Linked DNA regions of Danio rerio. The protein of the gene in region 1 binds, or shares a complex with, the protein of each later gene. Links are inferred from orthologs where the notes say so. Each region holds a gene or a part of one and is shown on either strand. Other genes may lie near its edges.

Region 1 (5,265 bases):
ATCACTTTCCCGAACTCTCGCATTTAATCTGCCCAGTTGGTGGAATGAACTCCCTAACTGCATCAGAACGGCACAGTCACTCGCTGTTTTCAAGAAACGACTAAAAACTCAACTATTTAGTCTCCACTTCACTTCCTAATCTGCAATTGTCTCTCTGGATATACCACTAACTATACTAAAAAAAAAACAAAACAAAAAAAAATTAACTATTGCCTTCCTTCTTAGACTTTACAGACCTGAAACCTGCCTATAGCACTTATTAATTGTTGCTCTTATAGTTGTGTTAATTGCTTCCTTGTCCCCATTTGTAAGTCGCTTTGGATAAAAGCGTCTGCTAAATGACTAAATGTAAATGTATACCCTATTGCCAATAACATGATTCTAAAAACCTGTAAAGTCTTGCAGGAATTGAGTGCTTTAGCCAGGGATTCGCAGTCTCTGAAGGTGAACTCGAACAGATTCCACTCAAAGTTCATGCCACATCCTTTCACGCAATAAACCACGCTCAGCTCTTTCAGATTCGGCAGCTTGTCCAGCAGCATTCGGAAATCAAAGTGGTCCATGGAGGGTCCATCACTGCCCATATCACTGGCAGACTCTGACCCGTCGTCCTCGTCAAACCGGGACGGCTCTTTAATGGGCGGCAGCAGCTGAGAAACCCGCAGCTGCTTGACATAGTTTTGACACAAAGGCAGCACATCTAGCACTGTTTTGGTGTCAGTTGTGTCTGGTATAAAGAGTTCAATGATGCTCTGAAGGTGACGCTCGAAGAACATTTGTTTCCAGCTGTTATCATACGTGGAGATGTCAGCGAGTCCCCAGCGAGCTTCACAGCAGCGTTTCCAGTAGCTCTCATCGCTAATAAGGTTTGCAGTGATGGTCAACGGAAGAGATGCTGGCAGTCGTTGGAGGACGTATGTTTTAAAGCTGGGTTGGAGCTCATGCAGAATGGGCTTCTCTGCAAAAAATATTAAAGGGATAGTTCACACGAAAATGCCAATTTTATTACTATTTATTATTTATGAGCTTATGAGTTTCTTTGATTTAAAAAAATTACTCATACCCCAGGCAAACTCTCATTTAGGCCTTGGTCACACTAGAGTTTGAGCTGACGAAGTTCTGTTGTACGGTGATGTGAAAAGGGGCGGGATTAAACAAGACGATTAGACACTAATAAAGTATTGATTAAGTGATTGCTCCATATATTTAATTTCTGTGCAGAGAAGTCACGTTTTGTAAGTATATCGGGTGAAAAGTGCAGTGTGACCACAGCTTTAAGGTTTTTTCAAATGTAAATAAATCTGAGAAATATTTTCTTCCACAATAATGCCTCTTGTACTTTTTCTCATTATCTTTTAGGAGAAGCCTGTGTCATTTATGGTCAATAAAACAACTTCATTGTTGAAATCAAGTAAATTTAAGTTAGAATTTGCCAGGGGTATGAATAATTTTAAGCTTGACTGTATGTATATATATATATTTCTCGAGTGCCTTGGACTAATTCTTGTTGTTGTTTTGATGAATCCCTTATCCAAAGAGCACCGACCAAATATTTGAATTACCCCTCATCGCTTTTTGTTTGTTCTTCTGGATTAATATATGTATATATATATATATATATATATATATATATATATATATATATATATATATATATATATATATATATGTATATATGTATATATATATATATATATATATATATATATATATATATATATATATATATATATATATATGTATATATATATATGTATATATATATATATATATATATATATATATGTATATATATATATATATATGTATATATATATATATATATATATATATATATATATATATATATATATATATAATTTTTTTTTTTTTTTTGGGTAAGCAAGTATTTTACAGTGCTTTAAAAATACTCAATACTCTGTCAGTATTTTCAAACAATTGTATTTGATTTACCAAAATCGCACAAGTGGCAATTTCACATCTGTCACATCCATAACAGACAGATGTCAAATCCATAACGTAAAATCGAATAAAATCAATCATGTTTGTTTTGTAGTGAGCCGACTCTTATACTTTTGATTAGCATTGTTTCTTTTGGCTTGTGCAGTTTAATTTACAGAATTTTTACAAAGTATGTAATGTGTGATTTGGCAAATCAAATATAATAGTTTGAAAACATTGACAGAGACATTTTTGAGTATTTTTAAACCAATGTAAAATACTTGCTTACACAAAAGTTTCGATATTTTGGCGAAAATTTTTTTGTCATTTGCATGGAATTGCTCATATACACACACACACACACACAAACAGATATTATACATATATATATATATATATATATATATATATATATATATATATATATATATATATATATATATATATATATTTGTAAACTTTAACTGTAAATTAAAGTTAACAACATTAATTTGCACTTTATTGTGGCAAAGATATTAAAGAAATTATTAATATTTACAAAAATATTTACTAAAACCTTGTCTCCATTAACAAGCTGTTTGAAAGCACTACTTTATAATAATATAAAAAAATAATAATAACAAGCATTAACGTTACCTAAATGCTCATTTAGTAACTTAAATACATGCTACTCTGACAATTCTGAGTGCATGTAAGGCTTATTTGTAATCCTTACGGTGATTATGAGAGTGTAAACTAACTGACAGACTTGTGTGGGTTTTTTACCTTCGAAGTGTTTTATAATATGCTGTAAACAGAGTGTTGTTAGCAGAGGAACCAGCGCCAGCGACCACTCATGATCCTCCGCGATGATACTGCGCCTTTTTTGGCCGTCAGAAGCGGAGTTCATGACCCCGGATCTCTGAGAAGACTGACTCCGAGACATACTGCTAAAACTGACAGATATAAAACAAATATCTTGGATAAATACGCATGAAATAATACAGATGACGTTACCTCATCACTGCTGCCTGTATGGACGACTTTCTTTCACGACGTCATTTTTACCTTTGTCCTCGAATAAATGTAGCTTTTTAGTATATGAACGCAAAATAAAAGACGAATCTTAGTTAAAGAAAACGTTGAACGTTAATTAATTAAGTGACTTCTAAATGTCGACTCACACTTTCTGTTCCTCGGGAAAGTTTGATGCTGCCATGGTAACAAGACCTGCTCGCGCGCTTTGTCATGTCACCAGCCGCTGAAATGCTAAATGCTAATAATCAGTCACTAAAATAATAACAAACATAATTTTCACAATCAATAAAAACAGTAAAACAGGACAAAGATCTAAAGCCTTAAGCTGTACAACATATATCAGTCATGTAGGTTTCTCTCGCATTATTAATTCTATCCATTGTAAATATTAGTATAAAACATCATTCACGTTACAGATGACATTGCATATCCTTATAAAATAGTTTATTCAAGTGTGTCTTTAATTATTAAATTTGTAATTATGTTGTTAAGGGTAAGGATTTCAGCCTTGCCCTCGCTTTTTTTCATTTAACATGACTTCCAATTTATTTTTTAGACTTTTAAGTTATGAACTATACACTTGCATATTGTTTTAAGCATAAACTGTTTATTAATTAGTAGTTTTGGCACAAGGCTACTTTATTATTATTTCTTAAATATAAATCAGTTTATTAGAGTCCTTGGATTTTAATGTCAGCCTCGTACTCCTCAAATAAATAAATAAATAAATAAAGTTTCTCTTCCCCTTCTATAATAGTCTATAATGTTTTTGGTGATTATGAGGTTTGACTGAGGGGTATAAAATATTGTAAATTATGCAACACTTCGACATTTTAAAGGTTAAATATTTATTTAAATTAACACAATGTTTACAAGTAACAATCTTTTAAAAGTGTGCAAACATTAGTGTAGAAACCATTAGCAAGCAATTCACCTGAAAACTACAAGCTATCATAAATTTATGTGTCATTTTTTGACATTACATTCATGAGAACAGGGTGATTTCTTTTTATTATGGGGTGAAATATAAGAGAAATATTGAATATTTTCTCACAAATCCAATTTCAGACTATTAGAGCAGTGTTTCCCAACCCTGTTCCTAAAGGCACACCAACAATTTTGAATGTCTCCTTTATCTGATCCATTAACTTCAGGTTTTGGAGTCTCTTCTTTTGTTCTGATGAGTTGATTCAGGTGTGTTTGATCAGAGAGAGGTTAAAAACTGTACTGTTGGGTGTGCCGTTGGGAAACACTATACTAGAGTATATGAAATTCCCATCATATTCACCTTTAGCTTTTTTTTTTTTTTTTACACATTATTACTTTCTTAATAAAGGGACAGTTCACCCCAAAAAAAAAACTTACTCATATGTACTCTCCCTTAAGATTAATTAATCTTTATGGGTTTCTTATACTGTTCTATCCATCTTTTTCTACCATAGAAGATATTTTGCAGAAAGCTGAAAACCTGTATCCACTGACTTCCATTGAAAACAAATACTATGGAAGTCAATGGTTGCCGGTATATCCAACATTCTTCAAAATATCTTCATTTGTGCTCAACATAATAAATGTTTGAAACACGTAAATGATGACAGAATTTCCTTTTTTGGGTGAACTATCCCTTTAAATGCAAAATTTATTACAGTTATTTCTAAATTGAAAAGATTTTATATAGTGTTTAGGGCAATACTTTAGCTTAGGTCACAATTCAAGGTATTAATAAACCATTAACTAACACTGCTAGCTTAATAAACTACTAATTCGCTGTTTATTACTAATTAATAAGGTAAAGGTTGTATTAGTTTTACCTGCTATAGAAGTCAATGGTTACCGGCGCCCAACATTCTTCAAAATATCTTCTTTTGTGCTTAACAGAAACTGGTTTTGGTGCACGAGTAAATGATGACAGACTTTTCATTTTTGGGTGAACTATGCCTTTAAATACTGTCTAGACGAACAACTGCATGATCAGCGCTAACCTGCGAACGCTGCTTTTGCTAGCATCAGCTTGCAGAAATCTGAAAGCTGCTGAATGTTGGAGATTTCAGACTCTTCAACACTTCTGCACTGAAAGCTCACATCACGCTTCTGCAGGCGGTGTGTTTTGATGGCAAAAGCAGACAAACAAACAAACATCAGTTTTTTTAGGCACACAAAGTCAAGCCAAGGCAGACCTACATGTAAGAATAACCCAAAGCCCTGCAACCTGTAGTGTAAACTGTTATGATTGGTGGTAAATCAAAAGCAGCCCTTCTCACAGTCAGGGTTATCACACGGTCACCCAAACACACCAACTAACATTAT
Region 2 (4,925 bases), on another chromosome or scaffold:
CGCCAGTAGGTCCACTCCATCCAAAAAAAAAAACACATCCCACTGTTTCTTCAGGGTAAGCGCATACATAGGTTACGGTTATGCGAAATAGGATGTGTGAAATAAAAACTAATAAATAACTCAGTCCGTCTACATTGTATAATACTAAGTCAGCATTTCCTGTATGTTAGTATTGTGCACAGTTGTTTTTTGTACATACGGTGGCTAACACCACGCTTTTACGTGTCATTTAGGGTTTTCCGTGTACAGTTTTTCTTGTGCAGAATGCTGTAATAAGTGTAACTGAAGCTCGTTTGTTTTTTTTTAATAGACATTTTAGAGAAATCTAAATTAATGTCACTCTCACTCAACTCTCAACTTCTCTCTGTTCAACATGGTTCGCCAGATTTGCTGTTTTCTTTCTGCCTTTACTCTCTAACTCTCTCATAACTTTTTGTGAAGGATCGATTCCTTTCTTTTAAGGAGCATGGCATGAAGTACTGGATCTTTCTTTTTCTGTAAATAAAGTTTGCATTATTAAAGGCTGTTAATTTTTAGTTTTTCTTTTGAATAATATTTCCAGCATTCTGAAGTGGAATGTTGGTCATCGACGCGTTTTGTTTTTGTATCATCGGACTGGGATTAGTGTTGAAGTGTTGCGATTAGGTTTTACGTGTATAATCTATAGTGAACATGGCAATAAAGACTTTTTTAATATAATTTAACAAACTATACACTGATGTTTTGAATGTGTACTTTCTAGGGAGCTCTGCGGTGCAAAAATGACCAAGTCTAGTGTACGATTGCATATGTTTTCTATTGTTCTCATACAGAGTTGTCAAAATCTGCCAAATCCATAATTACATATGTCAATCTGATCAATTATGCAATGAAAACATTTATTTGGGTCATATGTTAGAGCAAGGTGTGTCCAAACTTGGTCCTGGGGGGCCGATGTCCTGGAGAGTTTAGTTCCAACCCTAACCAAACACACCTGAACCAGCTAATCAAGCTCTTACTATATATGCTAGAAACTTTCTGGCAGATGTGTTTAAGCCAGTTGGAGCTAAACTCAGCAGGACCCCGGCCCTCCAGGACTGAGTTTGGACACCCCTGTGTTAGAGTAATAGATGTTACATAATGCTGTCTCCAGATTTCAATGCAAGTACTCATCTTGAATCAAGAGTCCGTAGCCAACTTTGGATGTCTTTTTAGTGTCTCTTCCAGTGCCAGATATCTCTGAGGCGCTCTCTCTTTCTGTCTAGAAAAAGACACATTTACTGATCAGTTCTAAAGCAAAAATGTACAAGCTTATTTAAATTTAAAGCAAAACTGTACATTATCATCAGTTAGCATTAACCTTTTGACAAAGTTAATCTAAAAAATATCTTGTCATAAGAGGTGCCCAAACCCAATCGTGGAGGTCTGGTGTACTTCATATTTATTTCCAACCCCAGTTAAACACACCTAATCTTGCTAATTACGCTCTTTCTGGGTATACTAGAAACTCCCAGGCAGAGGTGTTGAAGGAAATTAGAGGCAAACTATGCAGGACACTATCCAGGCCTTCCAGGACAGAGTTTGGGCACCCATCATAAATGCATTGATCAGTAATTCAACGCTTACCGACTAAGTCTCAGTTTGAGAACATGGATCCTGAACATGGCTTCAGAGCAGTATTTGAAGTAGTCTTCCTCGTCTTCTGTGCTCATAGTGAGCTGGTTCTTCTGGTACCACAGCTGTTTCTTCTGTAGCTCTTCTGTCTCCTGAACAAGAAAAAGTTGAGGTTATTCTGCCCCTTTTGCCAGCAAGAAGTAAACTTATCAAGTACTATTGGGCCGAATCATCATAATCAACATTTTGATGTCTTGTTGGCACCCTGCTGTGACAGATCCTTCAAGACGCCTTCGAAGTCCATACTTTTTTGTTGGTTGTCTACGTGCTCTTGCAAAATATTTGGAACGAGATTCCACAAGACCTTTAGGTTGCAGGTAGACGGAATGTAATTTAAACTTGATGGTCCAGCACATCCCACAGATGCACAACTGGATTGGGATGTGGGGAATTTGGAGGCCCAGACTACCTTTGAATTTACCATGTTTTTCAAACCATTTCTAACCTATCCATGCAATGTGAGACTGTTGTCTGATTTCAGAAAGATGATCTACCCTGTGTTCACTGGAGGAAGTGTCTGAAAACAGACATTCTCAACCTTGTCCCCCAACAATGCACTTATTTATTTGTCTTAATCAAATGAACTTAAACCAAGTCAACTCTGTTTACCCTGATCTACCAAGACCATGTTAGATGATCAATGAGATCTAGCCAATATTTGGCTTAGAGTATATTCCATTAAAGGGACACCACATGTAAAAATCTAAGTCAGTAAAATTGTGTTTTGCCTTCTATTTTTAAACTTTATAGTTTTTTTTTATACCATTTATGTACTTTGTAAGCCAGAGGTGGCCATATTTGGCGGCTTGTACCATGAAGCTGAATTAGCTGCCTAGCTAGTTAAATTTTCAGTGTAGTTTGCACCAATCTTTGGTTTTATTGTAACAAATAGACGGCTGAACTTTAATCACTCTTCGTCATGGTATTATGGAGCAGCTGAGCCAACCTCATGGTATGTTAAACCCAGAATTTGTGCAAACAGGCCCCTGATACTAGAGGGCCCTTATGAGGACCCACCTCCCTGCAAACTTTGAATAAGGTCTATTAAATTAGACAGACATGCAGATTATCAACTCGTTAACTCCATGAACTGAACAATGTGCACCAAAAACTCATGCAAGGTGGTGCGTTCCCAGAAATAGGAAAATTTTTTTCTTTAATTTCTAATCAAACATCTCATCTAATTTTAATCCGCCTATCTGGGACGGGGGTAGCAGTCTTAAGGCCCGTTCACACCGATACGTTTTTTGCTTGCGTTTTCTGTCGACGTTTAACGCCTCGTGACTAAATAAAGGGCGTCAATGTGATCGTGCACACCAACGCGCGAAACGTCAGGCGCAAAAGCGTAATTTAAAAAAATAAATAAATGCCTCATGCCTGTTTTTTTTTTTTTTTTGATGCGCTGCGTCAAAACCCTCTTCACCAATCAGGTTGGCTTTTTTGTTCACGTGCACGGAGCTGCTGAAGTTACTGTAAACAGCACTTGGAGGCGCTCAAGCGCAAAACTGTCAATACGAGCGCACGTTGAAGAAGATGCCCCGAGGCGATATGAACAAGCTGGAGCTGCTGCTTGAACCATCCATGCTTGTTCAAGTCACCAGTAACTTTAACAACAAGCTCGTGAACTTCCTCTCTTCCTCTTCTGTGTTATAAACGGGTGTTGGAAGCTAATAGTTGTGTAGCGCCATCTAATGACAAGGAGTGGTTTTGCATACTCTTCTGCTTGACGCCAGGTGTGTTTGGCAAGGGCAGGGGTGACCACATTTGATACTAGAGGGGTAGTGTCCTGCAGTGTTTCGGTCCAACCTTAATCAAACACTGGACAAGCTAATTAAGGTCTTACTAGGAATACGTGAGATTTCCAGACAGGAGCTGAAATCTGCAGGACAGAGGACCTTCAGAACCTATAGAAAGTGGTAAATTGTCTGGGTCAAATGAACATGCCTTTTCGAATCTGCCCTGGATGAGGTTAGCTTTGTTGGCGAGTTGTTGTTTAAATTCTGTCAAACAGTCTCTCTTCAGCTGAAGTGCGTCCTTGAGAGTGAGGGATTCTGTTTGTTCTAGTCGGGCCTGGAAAGGAGCCAAGAGGTCGAGCTCTTTCTCTTTCTGCCGCTTCTGCTTTTCCTTAGCCTTACGTTCCTGAGGAATGACAAGAACCAGGGGTAAGTGATATTATGGGTTAGTTTGACAAAAGCAACTGGCTGATCAAAGCCCTGATTCACCTTTTCCTCCATGTGCCGACGAGCAGTCTCGTTTCTTGTAGTGTTGTAGATGGAGATCAGCAGATCAGTATTACTGTCCTCCTTTTCTCTTGAAGAAAGGATGGACTTGACCTTTAAAAGAAGAAAAAAGATTTAAGTCCTCATAAGAGTCGAGACAAATGTTTTGCCATGCTCGAACTGTAATACCTCTTTTTCTGAATTTCTGATTTGAAGTTCAACATTCTCCTCATCTCTCATCAGTTCCAAAAGAATTTTGTAAAGCTGCAAGTCGTTGTAGGGTTTTGCAAAAGGATCAACCTGAAGATGCAAAATGAACAATCTATTAAACCATTTATAAACTGGGGATTCTCAACGCTGGCCCTTATCACCTTTAACTTCCAAATAATCTTGAAGGCCTTAATAAGGTGTTATTGATAAAGGTTGTAGCTCTGTAGGAAAGGGTCTCCAGGAAAAGGCTTAAAGACCACTCACTCGATTTCAAGGTATTGATGGTACCAATTGAGTTTAGTTTAAATCACACAGTTGACCTGAATATTGTTGGTGAATAAAGGGCCCAAATTGCAAAAAGAAAATATTTACCACCTCTATACACACCATTACCAGTTTGAACTGAATATACAGTTTCTGAAGTGTTGGATTTCAATGCACTAATGTAAGTAGACACACACACAAGATCTATTTGAGTTGCTGCCATGTGACTGATTGAACATATTTCTGTTAAACAGTCTAAAGGGTCTGCATCTATTAATGTCAGGGGAGCATAAATAAAATAAAAAAAATATCTTGATCTTGAACTCAACCAATGAAATTTCTGACCTGAAAGCCAGACACCATCTCAGGAGAAAAATCTTGTCCTTTCTGCGAGTTTGCTGCTGCTTTTGGTTTGATGAAGTTCATCCATGCTGGGATGATCCTGTCGTCCTCTAGATGATAGGTCACCTGAATCTTTCCGTCCGACATCTTGAAGTTCCTTTCAGCCACATCTTTACTTGCAGGTTTAGAAGGATCTCTGTGGAACCGCTCCTCCACACTCTGTTGGAGACGTTTGAA
Region 3 (5,207 bases), on another chromosome or scaffold:
GTGACAGATTGTCCTGTCCATCACCCTGTGGTATGCCTGAGTTCTGGCTTTCCTTCATATCTCTTTCTAGTTTCTGAACAGACATGTATAATAGCTGAATATCTCATGAATTCAATGCATTTGGGTTTAGCTGATTGTTTTAATAATTATACCTTAAAGTATTCCTTTGTTCTTTTAGCGTCCTGCACAACATGACGCCAAGCCGTGATGATTTTTCTGCAGTGTACAGACTCTTGAACCTTCTGTAGTTTCCTCTCTGCATCTAGATAAATTAAAGAATGCCTTGTTTCATGATATATAGAGAGAACAGAAATAATAACACACTAAATTTATATGGTAACATGCAAACTAGTAAAAAAAAAGCATATGGGCAGAATTTAAACAAACAAATTACATTTAGTAATGTTCAACTTAATTTGTTTGCTTAAAATGAGCCCATATAAATTGTTTAAACCAGTTACCTTAAAACAATTCAGTAAATCCAATGATTAAATTTTTTTTTCAGTGTAGTTACTAACTTTATTGTAACATATATTACAAATAACTCCACTTATACAATGGTTACTAAAGACATTGTGCTGATTTTATTTCAAGATATGTGTCCGTCTTTTGACACTAGATTTTGCATTTCATCCCAAGTCTCTGTTGCTACTTTATTTGCAAAATGTTATTTTAGAGCTTATGAAGTGAAGTACTGTGAGATTTAAATGTATTTAAATGTACCAAAAAGAAAACAAAATTCTGCCATTATTGCCATTATTTATTCATCCTCTACAAAGGAAGATAAGCTGAAAGAGCTGTCCTTGACTTCCGGAATATTTTAGTTTGCTAATTTTACCTTTTGTTGAATCCATTTATTCATATAAATTCAGCATTTTTATTTATTTATTTTATTTTTTAATCAGAAAATCAATCAGAGAGTTGCATTGAGAAACCCATGACAAAAAAAATTGAAAAATGCTATAATTCTTTAACTTATTAAAGTTGTTAAGAACACAGTGTTGTACCTTGAGGCCTTTTTATGGATGTATGCTTTCTGAGTCTGAGTGAAATCAAAATTTACAATGTTTGTTTTGCATATCGCACATTGTAATTCTTTGGGTAAACAATTAATCCACTGAAAAAAAAGTTTGTTTGAGTAATCTTGTTGAGCTTTGAGTGCGTAGATTAATCATTAGACAGAATGAATCGTTTTTAGCAGTGCCTTTTTATTTCTGACCTTCACGTGCTCTCTCTGTACAGTATGAACATGAGATGGTAAAACTTCCTTATAAAAAAAACAACAACAGTATAACATGGAAACGTAAAGCATGTAAAAAAAAAACATGACGTCATCATTAAAGTACAGTAATACACTGAATCAAAATGTCAAACCCTTCAGTGATTATATCATTACAACAAGTAGAGTGCTAGTACTTTAACAAATCTTCAGTCCAAATCTGACCATTTGCATTGATTTTTGGAGGGGGGGGTCTTTCTCTGTTGATGTCAGAATGATGGCTTCAGCCACAACATTCTTAACCATGCCCCTCTACCATTAGTTTGCTATGAGGGAATAAAAAGCACTGCCCTCTACTCAGTACCTGCTTTTAGATTAAATTGGAAGTACTGTACATCAACACACTGAAAAAAAAGTCTAAGAAACCTCCAGTTTATTCTGATCTTTTAGGTTTATAAAGACTTTTTTGAAACTTACCTCAACATCTCAGTCTCACTGATTCACAATTTATAGCCAATTATGATCAAGCATTCAAAGGCACATTAAGTAATTTTCTCCGCTCTAGAGGGCGTCCATTCACAACAAACAAAGGCTTAGTTTGCGGATGTCGTGATCGTGTGTGTAATCATCAAGTTTTCAAAAATGAAGGGTTTATGATGTCAAATATTATTATTATTATTATTTGAACATTAAACAAAACTTTTGGCATAATGTAAGTACATAAGTACAAAATATATAATAGTGTTCTGACAATCCAACATGTGCTTTTAGCGGGCCTGTAATAAACAGTACCTGCTGACAGTAATGGGTTACATTTTATCTGGATTACTTAATCTTTCTCCAAAAATGACTTGCAATTATTATTATTTATTATAATTTAAAATGTTCATAACCGGAATTATTATTTTTTTTACAGATTACATAATTATTGTACAATTTCATAGGTGAGTTTTCCCGTTTTCAATTCACAATATTCAAGGAATCAGAATCAAGCATCCAGGGGCACATGTATAACTAAATTTGACTGGGATTTCTGAAATATTTAAAGTATCTCCAATATCATCTGTTTGTATTATAGACCATGAAAGCTAAATACCTTTCCATCGCTGTTTCTGAAACTGAACCCATGCTGTCCACTTTATGAAAGCCAGTTTTATCCTTCTCTGTGTGTGATACATCTCAGCCTCCTCCATTCTTTCAAGGAGCCGGGCAGCCTTCATCTTTTTCTGCCAGATGTAACTCTTCCAACCCCTTTAATATGAAAAGACAAGATATTAAAAGAGCTGACTTTTAAATAATTTATTCTGTACTTTAAAGACTTACGTGAAACACATTTTGGTCAGATTGGTGTGGTAACAAGTGTAAGCTTTCTCCAGCAAATGTGACAGATTCTATGAGGGAGGAAAATGAAATGAGTTTATGCTTATAAACATTCACTCTGAATAAAAACATACAAAGAGAGTTTTACCAGGCTGTCTTCTGGATATCCAAAAATATAATTCACAATGCCTCCTGCCAATGAGGAGATTTGTTTGTCTTTGTCAATAAATGTGTGCCTGAAATATATAAAAAAAAACATGTTTAGGAATATTAACCTGAACTTGATTTTGCAATAAAAAGGCACAATTTATTTATAGTTTAATGAAACAAATATATAAAGAAGCCAACATACCAGACAATCTCAAAATCTTGATCCTGTAGGATTGATAGTATTTTTTCCTCCATAAAGTGTAAAGGATCTTCAGGACATGAGACACATAAGCCAGAAAGTAAAGCCTAGATAAAATGGAATAATATATATACAACAATAACTACAACAACAAGAACCACTTCAAATCAAAATACAGTTAAATTTTTAAAATATTTTTTAAATACATTGAAATATGAAATAAAATATTTTTTCAAATGTAAAATCAATAAAGTTACAACTTAAAATAAACTAAAATTATTTTAAAAACAAACCTAAATCACCTTGTAAATCTGAGGTAGTGAATGTTTAATAATGTAGTCTCTAAAAATCGCATCTGAATCTTGCAAAAATGCCATTATAAAAGCGGTGAGAGAGTCACTGTGAATGGTAGATGATTTCCTGCTGTCAGTGTAACAATAACCTGAGACACTTTTGTCAACATTTACCTTTCATGTTACTTGGTTACCTGAACAATTGGTTGGTCACATGAAATAACCCCAAAAGTAAACTACAATAAACACAGAACAATAAATGTATATACTTTTATTAAAGAAAGTTTTCTTAAGCAATTGTATAACACACTTTTATAATATTTTTTTTATAACAGTTTATAGATAAATAGATAGACAGACAGACAGACAGACAGATAGACAGATAGATAGATAGATAGATAGATAGATAGATAGATAGATAGATAGATAGATAGATAGATAGATAGATAGATAGATAGATAGATAGATAGATAGATAGATAGATAGATAGATAGATAGATAGATAGATAGATAGACAGACAGATAGGATGATTATAGTATAATTTTACCTTAAAATGGCTTTTAAAAAAATTCTAAGCTGATATTATTCTTGCCAACATAAAACAAAGACTTCCTCTAGAAGAAAAAAATATTATCAGACATACTGTGAAAATTTCCTTGCTCTGTTCAACATCATTTGAGAAATATTTAAAAAAGAAAAATTTAGCTAATTGCTAATTCAACTAACATAAACTAAAATAAAGACAAGCTATATAGGCATAAAAAACAGATAAATAAAAAATGTACAAATTAAAATTATTAATACTTCAACTACAACTTAAAAGTAAAAATGGAAAATATAAAATTAAAAGTACAATAGGATAACAATGACAAAAATAAAGCTAGTGCTTAAAAGGTCCGTGTAGGTCCGTGTACGTTTTGTTCATTTGTTTTTCATTTTCAAACGGAATAAAGGAAATGGAGAAAACGGACGTTTTTCCGTTTTTCTTTTGCTCACGAGAAAACGAAAAAACGAGATTTTGGCTGGGTTTTTCGTTTTTTTGGTTTAGGGTAGGAAAACGGATAAACGACTTTAAAATTCTTTTTACACATGTAGGCGGTGCTGAAACGCCCACTTTCCTCTAATTGGTTAACCAAATCTGCGCTCGTGACGTCACTCTCAAAATAAAAGCCTTACACGCAGGCTTTTAATTATTATTATTTAATTATATATATAAACAAAGTTTACATATTCTATCATTTGAACCACACACAGTTAGCAGGCTTACATTCATTGCGTATGTATAAATTAAATAAAAACGTAAATCAGCAGTATTCTTAGACATTTGTCATTAAAATAAGGTCATAGTTCACTGCCAAGCTTCTTGCTGCTGTGCACCTGATGCTGAGCAAAGATAGCCATTTCCGAGCAGCACCTAGTTTACATGATTGTTTCAGAGCTATTGTAGGCCTAAATAATAGCCTACTCTGTATAAAATAATAATTTATTATTATTATTATTATTATTATTATTATTATTATTAGGCCTATTATTATTAGTATTGTTATTATTATTATTTACTTAGTTATTCAATGGTTGTAAGAACACATTGGACCCTGCATGGGGCTATAATAAATGGTACCATTTGTTTCTATTGGATTTTCTCCTATTTTAATTTAATATATGCCTTTAGCCTATTGTAAATATTTATTTGATAATTAATACTTTTTTATTGCAACGTCAAAGTAGGCCTGTCTTATTATTATTATTTTTTATTATTATTTTGTCGTTATTGTTGTTATTATTATTGTAGCAGAGACATAGCCACAGGTGTGGCAGAGTGTGCTGGTGCCACCCAAAGTGGCATCTTGCACCTGAAAATAGATGCCTTTGCGCTCAAGCGCGTGCAAAAAACTTGCACAGGCAAAAGTAATGATGAATGTGTTGAAGGAAAAAAAAAAACATTCTAATTATTTGTTAATAAAATAGTGCAACATTATTCTCAGTCAGTGTAGGCTGAAAAAATTAAGATCGCCAGCATTTCAA
Region 4 (5,184 bases), on another chromosome or scaffold:
AGTTTCAGGTTGAGAGAGGGGGAAGATGCGGCCACGAGGGGGCGTGGTGCCTGGTAGTAGTTCGATGGCACAGTCATTTTCACGATGTGGAGGGAGCTTGGTAGCCTTCTGTTTGTTAAATGCCTCAGTTAAATCATGATAAGCATCAGGAACATGACAGAGTTCAGGGTCTTCTGTGTTGGTAATTGTGTTGATCTGGACAGGGGAAACAGAATGCAGACATTGGGTAAAGCATTGATTGCTCCATTTTGTGATCTCACCAGTTCTCCAGGAGACTTGAGGGTCATGTTGTTGTAGCCATGGTAACCCAAGAATTACAGAGTGCTTGGGGGACTCGATGGCAAGAAGGGAAATCTCTTCTTCATGGAGAGAGCCTGTTTGAAGAGAGATTGGTTGAGTCTGGAATTTTATGTGTCCCTCTCCCAAAGGGCGCCCGTCTACAGCAGTGATGGCGATGGAGGAATCACAGGAGGTTAAGGGAATGGAGTGAGTGGTGGCAAACGTGTAATCAATAAAGTTGCCAGCGGCTCCTGAATCGATCATGGCCATAGTCTCAATTTCATCTCCATTGTTTCTCAGAATGACAGGCAAATTCATAACATTATTAGTGGTAGTGAACATAGTGGTTGCACTCACCGAGACGGTTTTAGGGAGAGGCTTGTGGGGACATAAAACCTTCGTATGACCTGGAAGTCCGCAATAAATGCACAGGTGATTTCTTCTCCGTCGTTCTCGCTCCTCTGGGTTCAGGCGGGTTCTACCCAATTGCATGGGTTCAGCGGAGGTCTCAGGGGATACAGGACTGGAAGCAATTGAGCACAGTGGATTGCGAGTGCGGAGGAGAGTGTCTAACCTTATAGAAAGTTTGATTAGTTGATCCAGTGTTTTTCCCTCGTCACGACATGCCATCTCTTTCTGCAATTCTGGTTTTAAAGCCGTTCTGTAGAGCGTGGTAAGCGGATCATCAGCCCAGCCAGTTTGCGCTGCCAAGGTGCGGAACTGCAGTGCGAACTCAGCTGCGGAGCGATCTCCCTGTTGGATGCACAGTAGCTCCTCGCCAGCGTTGCGACCACCCTCCGGATGATCAAACACAGTGCAGAAACGTTTGAGAAAGTCATTAAACGAGGGAAATATCGGGGTACTGTCTGGCCAAACTGCAGTAGCCCAGTCTAGCGCTTTTACAGTGAGCAGTGAGCACACAAAAGCAATTTTCCCATTCTCGTCCTTAAACAGATGGGGCTGTTGGGCGATAAACAGTTTACATTGCAGTAGGAAGCCTTTACATTTTGCTGGGTTACCTGAGAACTTGTCAGGGAATGCCAATCGAACTCCGGAAGTCATCGGGGGTTGTGCAACAACAAGTGGACTTGGAGAGTAGTTGGCGGTGGGTTGCGCAGTGGCAGCAGCTTGCAGGTTTTGTAGGGATTTCACCAGTTCGTCTGTTAACTGAGTTAGATGTGTTAGTTGTTGTTGGTAAGTAGACAATACCTGAGCTTGTGCTGTGACTTCGTGAGACAAAACCTGGATGGCTGCGGGATCCGTGTTGGGCGAAGTCTTCTGTAACGGGGAGACTGACATGGAGGGATCCATTTTGCAGTATTTATTAAGTCACACTTAAACATCAACAACTCGCACGGCTGTGCGGACATACAACATACACATCAAAGGAGGTTTAGCAGATAACAGACGCAGAGTGATTACCAGGCTTGGGTCAGAGGCAGGCAGCGTGATTCAGAGTCCATGTAACAGGCTTTGGTCGAGGGCAGGCAGCGAGAATCAGAGTCCGAGGAAACAGGCTTTGGTCGAGGGCAGGCAGAAGACAGAGCAGAGTCGTGAAACGGGCTGAAGTGGTAAACGGGAGATCAGGCAGGATAGAACGCTCAGAAATGCTGGCCGGGGCTAAACAAGACTTCGCACTGAAGTGTGTGTGTGAGCTGCTTATATGTGGTACGTGGGTCATTAGTGGAATGGAGAACAGGTGTGCTGGGATCAGGGTGAATGGATGACGTAATGGTTAGAAGTCCGGAGATGGTGACCTCTGCTGGTCAGCGAGGGGAATGACTGGGACCGAGTCGGTGACACAGACGTTGGATTTTGGTTGCCATACCTGATGAATAAATGTCAGTATTTGACGTTAATATGACTTTGGTTTAAGATGTTGGCTCAGCTGTGGATTTTGGTCTCTTTCTAACAAGCTACAATCGATAAAATATCAACGTCATTTGACGTCATTATTGGATATCAAAATAACGTCCTTAGACACTGGCAAGACATAGAATTTTGGTCACCTGACATCACAACCTAAATCAAACATAATATAATTTTTTTATGACGTTGTGGGCATACTGGACAATAACTATGCACTACAGAATGTCACATTTAAACACATGCACAAATTACATGTACACGCATTAGCTTTTTACAGCACTATATATATATACATATAATTTTTTTGATTTTTTTTTAACACACACGCCTCACCTAGAAATGAGCACTGGTTAAATGATCACCAGTGCTACCTCCTCATAATGTGCTATATATATATATATATATATATATATATATATATATATATATATATATATATATATATGAGAGTTTAGTATGTTTGGGAGTTTAGTCTTCATAAGACTTTGTAGAAATTCTGTTAATTAAACTGCACAACCCAAAAGAAACAATGATAATCAAACGGATATGAGTCGGCTAACTATTGAATTGATTTTATTTTATTTGACATTTTTGCATTATGAGAAAAAAGTGTCGTTATGGATGTGACAGCTGTGAATTTGACCAATTATTTGACCAAAACCAAAAAGTGTTACTTTGTGCCCCGCTCTACCCTACTAAAAATAATTTCATGACTTGAAACTGTTTAAAATAATGTTTAACGCAACAACATCATATAATAGCCTATCAACCAACAAATCCTAACTTTGTTTAATTCACCAATAATTATTGGCCATGACACTAAATATAAAACATAATTTAACAAGCATATCGGGCATAACCGAGCAAATGTAGCAGGAAGCAGATTACTAAATGTCCTAAATTTGATGTTGTTACTCACAGTCTCCGCTCCGGGGCGTATAATATTTCCTAACACTGACAGCTGATCAGCGCAATCCTGCAGCAAAGCACACGCTCTGAGCTCCTCCACGGACGTCATACTGCTGATTTGGGCTATATAGAAATTTAGATAAATATATAAATAAAATTAAAAGGTTTCTTTCTTTTAATCCTTCTAAACAAAGAGGCAAATCAGCCGTGAAGAAGACGCTACACGTGCAGCTGTAGCAACAGCGTCCGTCGTCATGACAGCACGTCTTGTACACACAGATCCGCTCCGTTTGCTGGCTGTTCTTACAACAGACTGAATTAATTTACGTTCATGAACATCATGTTTTGACCAGTTTTCCATGCATTTTTTGTCTGCTAGAAGGTGGTTTATTGACAAAACTGACTTATTTTGACATTTTGACTTATTTTGTTTTTCTTTATCTTAAACATGCTGTTCATTGGTAATGTTCAGGACTTCTAGGTATTTTTATAGGTAACCCTTTTAAGATTTATAATCAGTAGATTTGTCTACAATACTCAGTTTTGGGCTGCACGGTGGCACAGTGGGTAGTTCGCCTCACAGCGAGAAGTTTGTTTGTTCGAGCTTCGGCTGGGTCAGTTGGCGTTTCTATGTGGAGTTTGCATGTTCTCCCTGTGTTTTCGTAAGTGTGTTTTTTGGGTGCTCCGGGTTCCCCCATAAGTCCAAAAACATGTGGTATGGGGAGAGCGGGGGACGTGTAACACTTTTTGGTTTTGGCCAAATATAAAATATATGGTTAGACAAACCATATTTTTAACCAACAACACACAAGCCTCTCCTACAAATGAGCACTGGTTGTATGATCGCCGGACGTATGTGCATTGCCAAAAGTGCCAGGAGTAAAAAATACTATTTACCCCACCTGTGGGGCAAGTTGTGACAGACAGAGTTTTAGTTGTAACATATGCTTATAAAGACATATTTAGTATTGCAGGTTTCAATGCTGGTTTTGCTGGTATGGATGCTTGTTTTGCTGATCTCGATGCTGGTCTTGCTGAAACCAACATTGAGACCAGCAAAATCAGTATTGAAACCAGCAAAACCAGCATCGAGACCAGCATTAAAACCAGCAAGACCAGCATGAAAACCAGCGAGACCAGCAAAACCAGCATTGAAACCAGCAAGACCAGCATCGAGACCAGCAAAACCAGCATCGAGACTGGCAAGACCAGCATCGAGACCAGCAAAACTAGCATTGAAACAAGCAATACCAGCATTAAACCCAGCAAGACCAGGATCGAGACCAGCAAAAACCAGCATTAAAAACACCAAGAGCAGCATCGAGACCAGCAAAACCAGCATTAAAACCAGCAATACCAGCATCGAGACCAGTAAAAACCAGCATTGAAACCAGCAAGACCAGCATTAAAATCAGCAAGACCTGCATACCAGCAACAATACATACCTTACCAGTATGCTAGGTTTTTTTTTGTTTTTTTTTTTATAGCAGGGATAGTGTAAGGCTGCGTTTTAGCTGGATTAGCTTGTCGGCTGGTCATTATAACTACAATTTTTAAAGTAGGCTACCAAAATATTTGCTAAAGATTTAGAATAAAGAAATATGAATAAATATTTATTTTTAATATTCAAATTTATTACATCATATTTCATTATAATTTTTTAAAAATCTGTTAAAGTTTTAAACAAAAACTGTTGTCTATTGTCACTTATGTAACAAATTGGCCAGCACATTCAACTTTCCTCAGTCAGAATTTGGCTGTTTGAAAAATAAAAAGATAAAATATAATAATAATAAAAGGGTTTCATGATTTGTCTTGCCTCTCTTGTAAAAAGTACATGTGATTAAAAATTAATGGATAGCCAAATTAGTATTTTAGTGCTTTGGCTATTTTTATTTCAAGAATATTTGTTACAAGATTCAGAATAAAAGTTACAAGTAAAATGTTTTCTCTATTTAAAAACAATCCAGTAGTAAAGGATGACTTCTCTTATGTCAGATTGTGTTTTCTTGCACAGCTGGATGTTGAAAAATAATAGTTTGCCTTGAACAAAACTGATTAGCTGAAGTCACACTGATGTGACGGTCAACAGAGGATTCCACTTAGTCTTAAAGCCTTTTTCAATTG
Region 5 (3,913 bases), on another chromosome or scaffold:
AAGCACTTCACTGGAGCTTTAATCCACAGAAAAGGTTCCTTCCCACTGGTGAGTAAACACTGTTTATATTTTTCCAGGACGCATTCGTGGAGAACCTGAACGGCGCTCAGCTCTTCCACAGCATGTTTGCAGATGATCCTGATGCTGAGAAACTGGCTCTGCTGCCGGGAGTAGACGCGCTGCTGGAGGAATATCCTTATCCCATATATAAACAAACAAAACACACACACACACACACATAACTGCTTAAAAGCAAAGGAAGAGTTATTACAACCTAAAAGACTCCTCTCGCTCACCATTTCTGTTTGATGTCAAAACTGACAGCTGGAGGGGGCGTGGTTAAGAATGTTAGCCCCTCCCAATATCTCAAACAGACCTAATCTGAGAATTTTACAAACAGGAAGTGAATTTGCATATTTAAATTTAAGATTACAAGGGCAAACAGGATTTGAGTTCATGCGTACATTAAGAACACCAAGCAATCGCCTCTCCTTGACAGTCACGTGGCTCTACGTTTAGGAGCAGAATGGAGGCTGTGTGTATGCAGATGTTTGAGGCAGGGTTGTCTCAGTATTCTCGGAGGTCTGCGGAGGTGGAGTCTTTCTTCAGCTGTTCTCGAGAAGCCGTCGCTGAAAACAAGCAGAAAGCGGCACAGATCGCAGCCGACTTCGAGAGCTTCAGGAGACTGGTCAGTTTAGAAATGAGGCTTTTTTATTCATTCATTCATTCATTCATTCATTCATTCATTCATTCATTCATTTATTTATTTATTTATTTATTTATTTATTTATTTATTATTATTTTTTATTTATCATTTATCTATTTATTTGTTTATTTATCATTTATTTATTTATTTGTTTGTTTGTTTGTTTATTTATCATTTATTTATCATTTATTTATTTATTTATCATTTATTTATTTTTCTTATTTCTTTATTTATCATTTATTTATTTATCATTTATTTATTTATCATTTATCTATTTATTTATTTATTTGTTTATTTATTTATTTATTTATTTATTTATTTATCATTTATTTATTTATCATTTATCTATTTATTTATTTATTTATTTTGTTTATTTATTTATTTATCATTTATCTATTTAACATTTATTTATTTATTTATCATTTATTTATTTATGTATCATTTATTTATTATTTCTTTATCATTTATTTATCATTTATCTATTTAACATTTATTTATTTATGTATCATTTATTTATTATTTGTTTGTCATTTATTTATCATTTATATATTTATCATTTATTTATTTATGTATCATTTATTTATTATTTGTTTGTCATTTATTTATCATTTATTTATTTATTTATTTATTGAGTTTTGTTTTCAGAAATGGCGGGTCAAAATGAAGTGAGTTTTCCCTTTTAAAATGCAGAATAACCTGTAGATGTTGCCTGATGCTGTGTGTTGCAGAAGACAGCAGAGATGCATCAGATCCAGGATGCTGTTCAGCTGGAAACACACCTGAGCGTCTGCCGTCAGCAGCTCACACACACCTCTGAACAGCTCATGAGTCTGGAGCTGCAGCTGGTGGACCAACTGGAGGTCAGACGAGAAACACACACACACACATTCAGTCATATGAATCAAACATTACCTACAGGTGCTGATACAGTCAACTCAGCTGCACTGAATAAAGGGTGGAACTGTCTGCAATTTAGGGTGGGGCTATCAGTGATTTAGGGGAGGGATATCAGTAATTTAGGAGAGGGATATTTGTAATTTAGGGGGCGGGGCTATCTGTAGTTTAGGGTGGAGCTATCAGTGACTTAGGGGAGGGATATAAGTAATTTAGGGCGGCACTATCTGTGATTTAGAGTAGAGCTATCAGTGATTTAGGGGAGGGATACTAGTAATTTAGGGCGGGGCTATCTGTGGTTTAGAGCTGGGAGATCAATAGTTTAGGGTGGAGCTATCAGTGATTTAGGGGAGGAATATAAGTTATTTGGGGCGGGGCTCTCTGTAATTTAGGGTGGAGCTATCAGTGAATTAGGGGAGGGATATTAGTAATTTAGAGTGGGGCTATCTGTGATTTAGGGCGGAGCTTTTAATAATTTAGAGTGAAGCTATCAGTGATTTAGGGGAGGGATATTAGTAAATTAGGGCGGGGCTATCAGTGACTTAGGGAAGGGACATTAGTAATTTAGGGCGGGGCTATCTGTAATTTAGGGTGGAGCTATTAGTGATTTAGGGAAGGGATATTAGTAATTTAGGGCGGGGCTATCAGTAATTTAGGGCGGAGCTATCAGTGATTTAAGGGAAGGATTTTAGTAATTTAGGGCAGGGCTATCAGTAATTTAGGGCGGAGCTATCAGTGATTTAAGGGAAGGATTTTAGTAATTTAGGGCGGGGCTATCAGTAATTTAGGGCGGAGCTATCAGTGATTTAAGGGAAGGATTTTAGTAATTTAGGGCAGGGCTATCAGTAATTTTGGGGAGTGATAATAGTAATTTAGGGCGGGGCTATCAGTAATTTAGGGGAGTGATAATAGTAATTTAGGGCGGGGCTATCAGTAATTTAGGGCAGAGCTATCAGTGATTTAAGGGAAGGATTTTAGTAATTTAGGGCAGGGCTATCAGTAATTTTGGGGAGTGATAATAGTAATTTAGGGCGGGGCTATCAGTAATTTAGGCTTGAGCTATTAGTTATTTAGGACGGGTGTATCAGTGCTTTAGGGCGGAGCTATCAGTGCTTTAGGGCGGAGCTAACAGTGCTTTAGGGCGGAGGTAACAGTGCTTTAGGTAAGGATATCAGTGCTTTAGGTGGAGGATCTTTTGTGGCAGTAGGTTGTTAATTGTGTTTAAAACGGTTTGCTTATTTAGTGTGAAAAGGTCTTAAACTAGAGCTCCTAGACATGAGAATTCATTTAAGAACTTTTGTGGTACAAAATCTTTATTTCAAAGGATGTAGATATGGATTATTAATGCAAAATTCTACATAGACCATATCATATCACTGACAACTAACAGAAGTTTCCAAATCTGTGTTTAAAGGACGTCTACAAAGAGTTTGAGAGGAATATCTCCGAGATGTTGGGAGGCTTCGTTGAGTTTGTGCAGGGGATATATCCTTCATCAGCCACGTCTATATGAATATAAAAGCATATTTCTCCTGTATAAGAGCGTCTTCTTTAACCGTCCACCTCACGTTTGCGCAGTGCAGAGATCTGGAGAACCAGCACCATGAACAGCAGCTGGAGATCGGCCTGGAAACACTGGAGAAAGTCCTCAAGAATGAGCTTGAAGAGGAGATCCCGGATGATCTGGCCATGGTGAGGGGGAACAGGCTCAATTATGCAGATTTGTGTTGATCTCTTATGAATATTGATGAGATGCTAATTAACTCAGGGTTGGTTCGAGTGCTGGAAATCCATGAAAATAGTGTGTTTACTAGGCTTAAATGTTGGATAAAGTGCCTGAATATATAACTGTATTACTGAATGTATATGAGAGTTATTAATTTACTGTATATTTTATTACATGTGTGTGTTTTATACATAGTTTTAATAACTAATAACAGTGTGTGTGTGTGTGTGTCTGTGTATTGTTAATTATTTTATGTTTTGTGTGTGTGTGTGTGTGTGTGTGTGTGTGTGTGTGTGTGTGTGTGTGTGTGTGTGTGTGTGTGTGTGTGTGTGTGTTGATGATTATGTTCTGTGCTGAAGCTGTTAGTAGATAAAGACACATTGATCAACGCAGCGAACGCTTCACACGACACACACCTGATGAAGATCGATAACAGAGAAGACGTGCTGCGCACGCACACAGACAGCTGGATTAAACATCTGAAAACAGAGGTCAGTCAAACACACTCTACTTAAACATTAACACACTTTATAACATCATTTATTGCATTATATTTAGTGCTGGATGCAGATTAATGAATTAAATGC
Region 6 (5,291 bases), on another chromosome or scaffold:
TTACGGTTAGCATTTGGCACTCTAAGAAGCAGCTGATCTGCTGATCTGAGAGAGCGAGAGGGTAATTAAGGGTGAAGCAGGTCTGATATAAAAGGAGGGGCAGACTCATTTATAGATTTAAAAAACAAACAAAGGAGTTTTAAAATGAATTCTGTATTGTACAGGCAGCAAGAGAAGGGAAGATAAAATGAGAGTGATGTGAACAAATTTGCGACTCCCTGTCAAAAGATGTGCTGCACCAACTTCAGGGGAGCCAAAGAAGACCCGCTTATACTCAAATATAAAGAATTATAGTAATCCAGCAAAGACAAAGAGCACTGCACATGTGCAATTACAAAATATTGGAAGAATCTTAAAATCCAGGACAACACTTTGTTATAGTCTCACCTTCTTGTGTTAAGTATTTGGCCAGTTCTGCTGGTTCCAGGTGTCCTTTTTTCTGTTGATCTAAAACCTTTAAGATTAGATTAAAGTACAGTCCATTAAATCAATGCACTGGTCTTAGGTGTCTTGCATAGTGTCTTTGACACTGCTAAAAGTTTCACATGTTAACAAGGTAAATTCACACATTAAAAATTAAAAAACAAAACAGCCTCACCTCAAAAGCCTGTATGAGCAGGTCTTCTGTAATAGGACGAAACCTGCAAGAAAAAAGAAAGAAGCAGAGCTACAATTATCACTAATACTAGGCTTTGTATTAAATTTTATTGTGGGAAAAACTTTAGCAAAGTAAATATTTATTTAATCAAATGTTTATTTTATTTTAGTTTTAAGTTTTTACAGGTACTGCAAATTATGTTAAAACACTTATAGTCATATACTGTACGTCTCAGGGATGGATTTAGTGATTTTGGGGCCCTAAGCTGTTCCAGCCATTAGACCCAAAAGTTCTAAAAGGCACCTTTTGTACTTTAATTTTTTTATTATTATTTTGCTGTTATTTCTTATATCAATCAATCTCCTTTTCTACATTTTATCTTAATGCAAAATAATAATAACATGTAAAGCACCTTATAAAACTTTTTAAATCATTTGTTTTCTTAAGATAAATTCACTATAAATAAACAATTTCGTTTTTTAAAACTAAATCTTTACTGATTTGACAGCTGAACTGGTCCATGATTGAAGGTAGGGGAAAATATGATAGAAAGCAATGTTATATATAATATTTATATGTATAATTTATAATTCTAGGTATTTATTTGGGAGCCCTCAGATTAACTGGGGCCCTGAGCGGCCGATTAACTTGCATATTGTTTAAATCCACCCCCAGCACATCTACATGTAGAGGCAAAACATTTGTCTGCTTTAGACACGACAACACATTTTATTAGTGAGATTTTGGCTCACACAGGCCAAATATAGAAAAAGGGAAATCCAAATATTTCCATTGCTCTCTGGTCATTGATTGCAGAACATTTTAAAAAGCCCTGCTCCCTCAATGTTATCGAAGAGAAGGTAAGCGTTTAATTAATGTTTTCTTATTTATTCATTCTTTTCGGCTAAGTCCCTTTATTTTTTATCGCCACAGCAGAATGAACCGCCAACTTATCCAGGATGTGTTTAATGCAGCGGATGCCCTTCCAGCTGCAACCCAGTGCTGAGAAACATCCACACACACTCATTCACACACATACACTACGGCCAATTTAGTTCATTCAATTCACCTATACCACATGTCTTCGGACTGTGCGGGAAACCGGAGCACTAGGAGGAAACCCACGCCAATACAGGGAAAACATGCAAACTCCACACAAAAATGCCAACTGACCCAGCCAGAGCTTTAAACAATGACCTTCTTGCTGACAGTGCTACCCACTGCGCCACTGTGTCGCCTTGTTTTCTCGTTACATCAATTGTTGATGTATATACGGAACATTTTTTAATAAGTTTGCTTTTATTTGGATGCATGCCATTATGTGCTTGCAATTGGGTGTGTAGGAACTGTGGGAATTATACGATCCGTGCAAGTTGATACCTTGGACATTTTGGCTTCATCTTCTAGCACTATATATCCATGTACAGTTGAAATCAGAATAATTAGCCCTCCTGAACTATTAGCCCCGTTGTAAATGTTTTCCCCAATTTCTGTAACGAAAAGAATTTTTTCAACACATTTCTAAACATAATAGTTATAATAACTCATTTGACACATCAAACTGATTTATTTTATCTTTGCCATGATGATGATTTTCAACATACTAGTATTCAACTTAACGTGACATTTAAAGGCTTAACTACATTAATTAAGGTAATTAGGCAGGTTAGGGTATTTAGGCAAGTCATTGTATAATAATGGTTTGTTTTCTAGATAATCGAAAATAAATATTGCTAAAGGGGGCTAATAATATTGACCTTAAAATGTTTTTTTTTTATTAAAGACCATTATTTTAGCCAAAATAAAACAAATAAGACTTTTGCTAGAAGAAAAAAAAAATCCTTGCTCTGTTGAATATCAATTTAAAAATAACTGAGTAAGAAAAAATTATTTACAGGACAGCTAATAATTTTGAGTTAGACTGTATATAAATATATAGATGCATTTGTGTGATTTATCAGTCTGTGACCTTTTAAAAACATTAAGAATAATCTGGGTTTCATACTGTTTTATTTCATTACAGTCTTACTTGCGCTCCAGCAGGATCTTAGTCATAGTTGGAAGAAACTTCTCATAGCGCACAAATCCAGTGGGTTCTTCTTCTTCTAGCTGTGAATGAAATGACACTTCATAACTATTGATCTACTCAACTTACAAGAGCGATGCATTTTATGACCCGGCAAAACAAAACCACTGACCTCAGAGATGATATCATGCAATTCAGCTTCTGAAGGAAAACAGCCAAGTGAACGAATGATGGTGCCTATTTCCCTTTTACGGTGAAAAATGACAGATAACATTAAAGAAGTCTTCCTTGTTTGTAGAACATGTGCAGAACAAAGCTAACAGACATCAACAAATGGTCTAATATATTTTGAAAAACAGCGTAGTGAAACGTTACCTGACATCAACAGTCTTGTTGGATTCATGGTCAAATACATCAAAGGCATTCCCAATCCTCTTTTGAGTTTCTATTATAATATTTTCTGATAAAAAATACATTAATTAACGTTGTGTTTTTCCGCATTTTTATTTTATTTTGTGTGTGTGTGTTTACAAAGCAATTCAGCTGTAGATGTTCGCTGTCTGTGTGGTCTTTTACTGTTACTTTAACTACTCGACGTTAACAAACAACGTTACTGAAAACTTTTCAAACATCATTGATCTGGTAACAGTCGTAGTAATGGCAACTGTATTTAAAAACACGTCATGCTGAGAATACAAACACCATTAATAAGCATACAGTAAGCCCACAAACGTAAAAAAAGCGTAGCATTTTACGTGTAGCATCTTTACCTGCATTATACTTGTCCGCCATGTCTAAAACCCTGGTTGCTAGGTAACCTGAACACACTCGCCATTCAGACGGAGGGCAGGAAGTGGTTCTTCTACGTAGGAACCGCTTTCAGAAGTTTAAAAAAATGTTTCTGTTTATGCTGTTTATGATTGTTTAAATCGACCAAAATAAGAAATGCCGAACATCTTTTATAGACTAGCAAAAGTTTTTGCTCACAAAAGGGGAAAGTTCAGTACTGACTAAAAAAACAGAAGAAAAGGAAGAATGTAAGGAACATTTTTATACATCCTTTGTACAAGCATGAACGCGATTATTCGTTTGAAAGCACCAATAAAGAGTACATGTCTAAATTACCTATGTGTATAAATATGTCAGTGTTAAATAAAAATCAGAAGCACTTATACAATCCAGGAGAATATATAGGCTAAATAGTACCTGCTATAGTAATAAATAATCACATAGTCCAAACACTAATATTTCAGAGTTGCCAAAATGCGTGAAAGTCACGCAATTGACCGTATTCTCACGCTCTCACGCCACACATCAGTTTTCTCACGCAGTAAAATCATCTCCGTGAAATATTTATTCCGTTATAAAAAAACTCCCTATGATGTATGTAGCCTTGCTGTAGTCAACCTAAAACCTACAGTAGGTTGACACAAAACCAAAACAACACCCATTCTTGTCTTAGGACATTTTATTTGGCAAATGTTAAAATAACAGTAAGTTTATGACATGTTAAATATATAGTATAATTTGCTGGTTTTAAACATACAGCATATTAATAATAATAAATATAGTATAACAATCATAACATAACATCAAATGTTGACTAATGAAGGTACATTTATAACAACTATTTATTTGTTAGACTACTGTATTGTCAAACCATGTTGCATACAAATGCATTCAACAGACCTATATGACAGTGCATTGCTGTAGAGGACAAATAAAACGAGACAGGTGTTTAGAAAGAGTATAGTTTATTTAGTTTGACATGCAAACTTATCTAAACAAAGACACACTTTCAGAAAACAGCCCGAAAACATTATAATGCGCGCGCTCGTGATTATAACCCGCGGTTGTCTTCAACTGTTGTCTTCAATAGTCCTTCTTTGCTCAAAATCTCAGCTGAAAAACAAAGCAAAACATCACAACAGTCAGACACAGAAGAGCATAGAATTACCATGAGGCGACAATCTACAATTTGGGAAACAATAACGCGCTTTTTGAATAAATTAAATAAAAACAAAGCAGCTGCTTTCCATCGCGACAGCAATGACGAGCGATCGCTATCACTTCAAAATGGCGGAATCCGGGTCTGTTGCTCTTGGTCATTGTAAGCTCTTTGCATAAAGTTAAATCATAACAGTTACCATGGTTTCTATTTCAAACTATATAGTAAACTAAAGTTTGAAACTATGGTTTAAAATAGAAGATGAGTGGGCCTCGCTACTCCCACCCACCATAACCCTCGCAGCGAGGTCCCACTACCGGCCCCCCGTGTTTCCCTGAGGGTCCTCGGTGGTTGTTTGCTCCCTGCCTAGGGCTCAAAGGCCGCCTCGCCCCAGGGAGTGCACGAGAAGACCGGGCGCCAGGCCGTGCCAGTATTCACTGGATGTTGCTCGGCGGCACATTTCGAGCAACAAACACGTAATGTTCTTCGCGATATTGCGTTTATGTACGCAAACCGCAAGGAACTACAGCACAGACGGGCCCGGGTGAAGCTTCACGAAGCAGACTTTGTGAGATTGGCGTGGCTCCACTCGTACCGTCGGTATTGAACTCACCTTGGTCAAGTACAAACAGCAACATCGGGCGAACTGACAATGCTGACTGAGAGCACACGAGCTTTATAGAAATCCATATACACATTTTTACAAGGCACGTCACTGT

What was found.
Region 2: drc5 (region 1) and ccdc135 share a complex: the UniProt entries of both Homo sapiens proteins name them as parts of the nexin-dynein regulatory complex. The link is inferred for Danio rerio from reciprocal best matches to the Homo sapiens genes DRC5 and DRC7.
Region 3: drc5 (region 1) and fbxl13 share a complex: the UniProt entries of both Homo sapiens proteins name them as parts of the nexin-dynein regulatory complex. The link is inferred for Danio rerio from reciprocal best matches to the Homo sapiens genes DRC5 and FBXL13.
Region 4: drc5 (region 1) and drc9 share a complex: the UniProt entries of both Homo sapiens proteins name them as parts of the nexin-dynein regulatory complex. The link is inferred for Danio rerio from reciprocal best matches to the Homo sapiens genes DRC5 and DRC9.
Region 5: drc5 (region 1) and drc3 share a complex: the UniProt entries of both Homo sapiens proteins name them as parts of the nexin-dynein regulatory complex. The link is inferred for Danio rerio from reciprocal best matches to the Homo sapiens genes DRC5 and DRC3.
Region 6: drc5 (region 1) and drc8 share a complex: the UniProt entries of both Homo sapiens proteins name them as parts of the nexin-dynein regulatory complex. The link is inferred for Danio rerio from reciprocal best matches to the Homo sapiens genes DRC5 and DRC8.

The regions. Positions count from the first base shown.
Region 1 is NC_133195.1:54,629,413-54,634,677, forward strand, and holds the start of drc5 (dynein regulatory complex subunit 5), read right to left. Parts: upstream 3,415-5,265; 5' UTR 3,140-3,414; coding exon 3,105-3,139; exon of another isoform or gene 2,943-3,104; coding exon of another isoform or gene 2,938-2,942; intron 2,877-2,937; coding exon 2,707-2,876; intron 959-2,706; coding exon 390-958; exon of another isoform or gene 1-389. UniProt on the Homo sapiens protein: Component of the nexin-dynein regulatory complex (N-DRC) a key regulator of ciliary/flagellar motility which maintains the alignment and integrity of the distal axoneme and regulates microtubule sliding in motile axonemes.
Region 2 is NC_133200.1:14,672,012-14,676,936, reverse strand, and holds the end of ccdc135 (dynein regulatory complex subunit 7), read right to left. Parts: intron 4,908-4,925; coding exon 4,692-4,907; intron 4,173-4,691; coding exon 4,062-4,172; intron 3,987-4,061; coding exon 3,876-3,986; intron 3,793-3,875; coding exon 3,598-3,792; intron 1,746-3,597; coding exon 1,606-1,745; intron 1,241-1,605; coding exon 1,159-1,240; 3' UTR 858-1,158; downstream 1-857. UniProt on the Homo sapiens protein: Component of the nexin-dynein regulatory complex (N-DRC) a key regulator of ciliary/flagellar motility which maintains the alignment and integrity of the distal axoneme and regulates microtubule sliding in motile axonemes.
Region 3 is NC_133200.1:19,760,731-19,765,937, forward strand, and holds the start of fbxl13 (F-box and leucine-rich repeat protein 13), read right to left. Parts: upstream 3,319-5,207; 5' UTR 3,266-3,318; coding exon 3,191-3,265; intron 2,996-3,190; coding exon 2,892-2,995; intron 2,776-2,891; coding exon 2,688-2,775; intron 2,611-2,687; coding exon 2,543-2,610; intron 2,471-2,542; coding exon 2,316-2,470; intron 263-2,315; coding exon 153-262; intron 74-152; coding exon 1-73. UniProt on the Homo sapiens protein: Substrate-recognition component of the SCF (SKP1-CUL1-F-box protein)-type E3 ubiquitin ligase complex.
Region 4 is NC_133193.1:29,337,283-29,342,466, forward strand, and holds the start of drc9 (dynein regulatory complex protein 9), read right to left. Parts: upstream 3,307-5,184; 5' UTR 3,167-3,306; coding exon 3,068-3,166; intron 1-3,067. UniProt on the Homo sapiens protein: Component of the nexin-dynein regulatory complex (N-DRC), a key regulator of ciliary/flagellar motility which maintains the alignment and integrity of the distal axoneme and regulates microtubule sliding in motile axonemes.
Region 5 is NC_133178.1:67,120,598-67,124,510, forward strand, and holds part of drc3 (dynein regulatory complex subunit 3), read left to right. Parts: intron 1-77; coding exon 78-190; intron 191-513; coding exon 514-688; intron 689-1,434; coding exon 1,435-1,566; intron 1,567-3,014; coding exon 3,015-3,085; intron 3,086-3,168; coding exon 3,169-3,292; intron 3,293-3,685; coding exon 3,686-3,817; intron 3,818-3,913. UniProt on the Homo sapiens protein: Component of the nexin-dynein regulatory complex (N-DRC) a key regulator of ciliary/flagellar motility which maintains the alignment and integrity of the distal axoneme and regulates microtubule sliding in motile axonemes.
Region 6 is NC_133192.1:12,696,284-12,701,574, reverse strand, and holds the start of drc8 (dynein regulatory complex protein 8), read right to left. Parts: upstream 3,433-5,291; 5' UTR 3,417-3,432; coding exon 3,395-3,416; intron 3,085-3,394; coding exon 3,000-3,084; intron 2,870-2,999; coding exon 2,797-2,869; intron 2,708-2,796; coding exon 2,628-2,707; intron 642-2,627; coding exon 599-641; intron 455-598; coding exon 388-454; intron 1-387. UniProt on the Homo sapiens protein: Component of the nexin-dynein regulatory complex (N-DRC), a key regulator of ciliary/flagellar motility which maintains the alignment and integrity of the distal axoneme and regulates microtubule sliding in motile axonemes.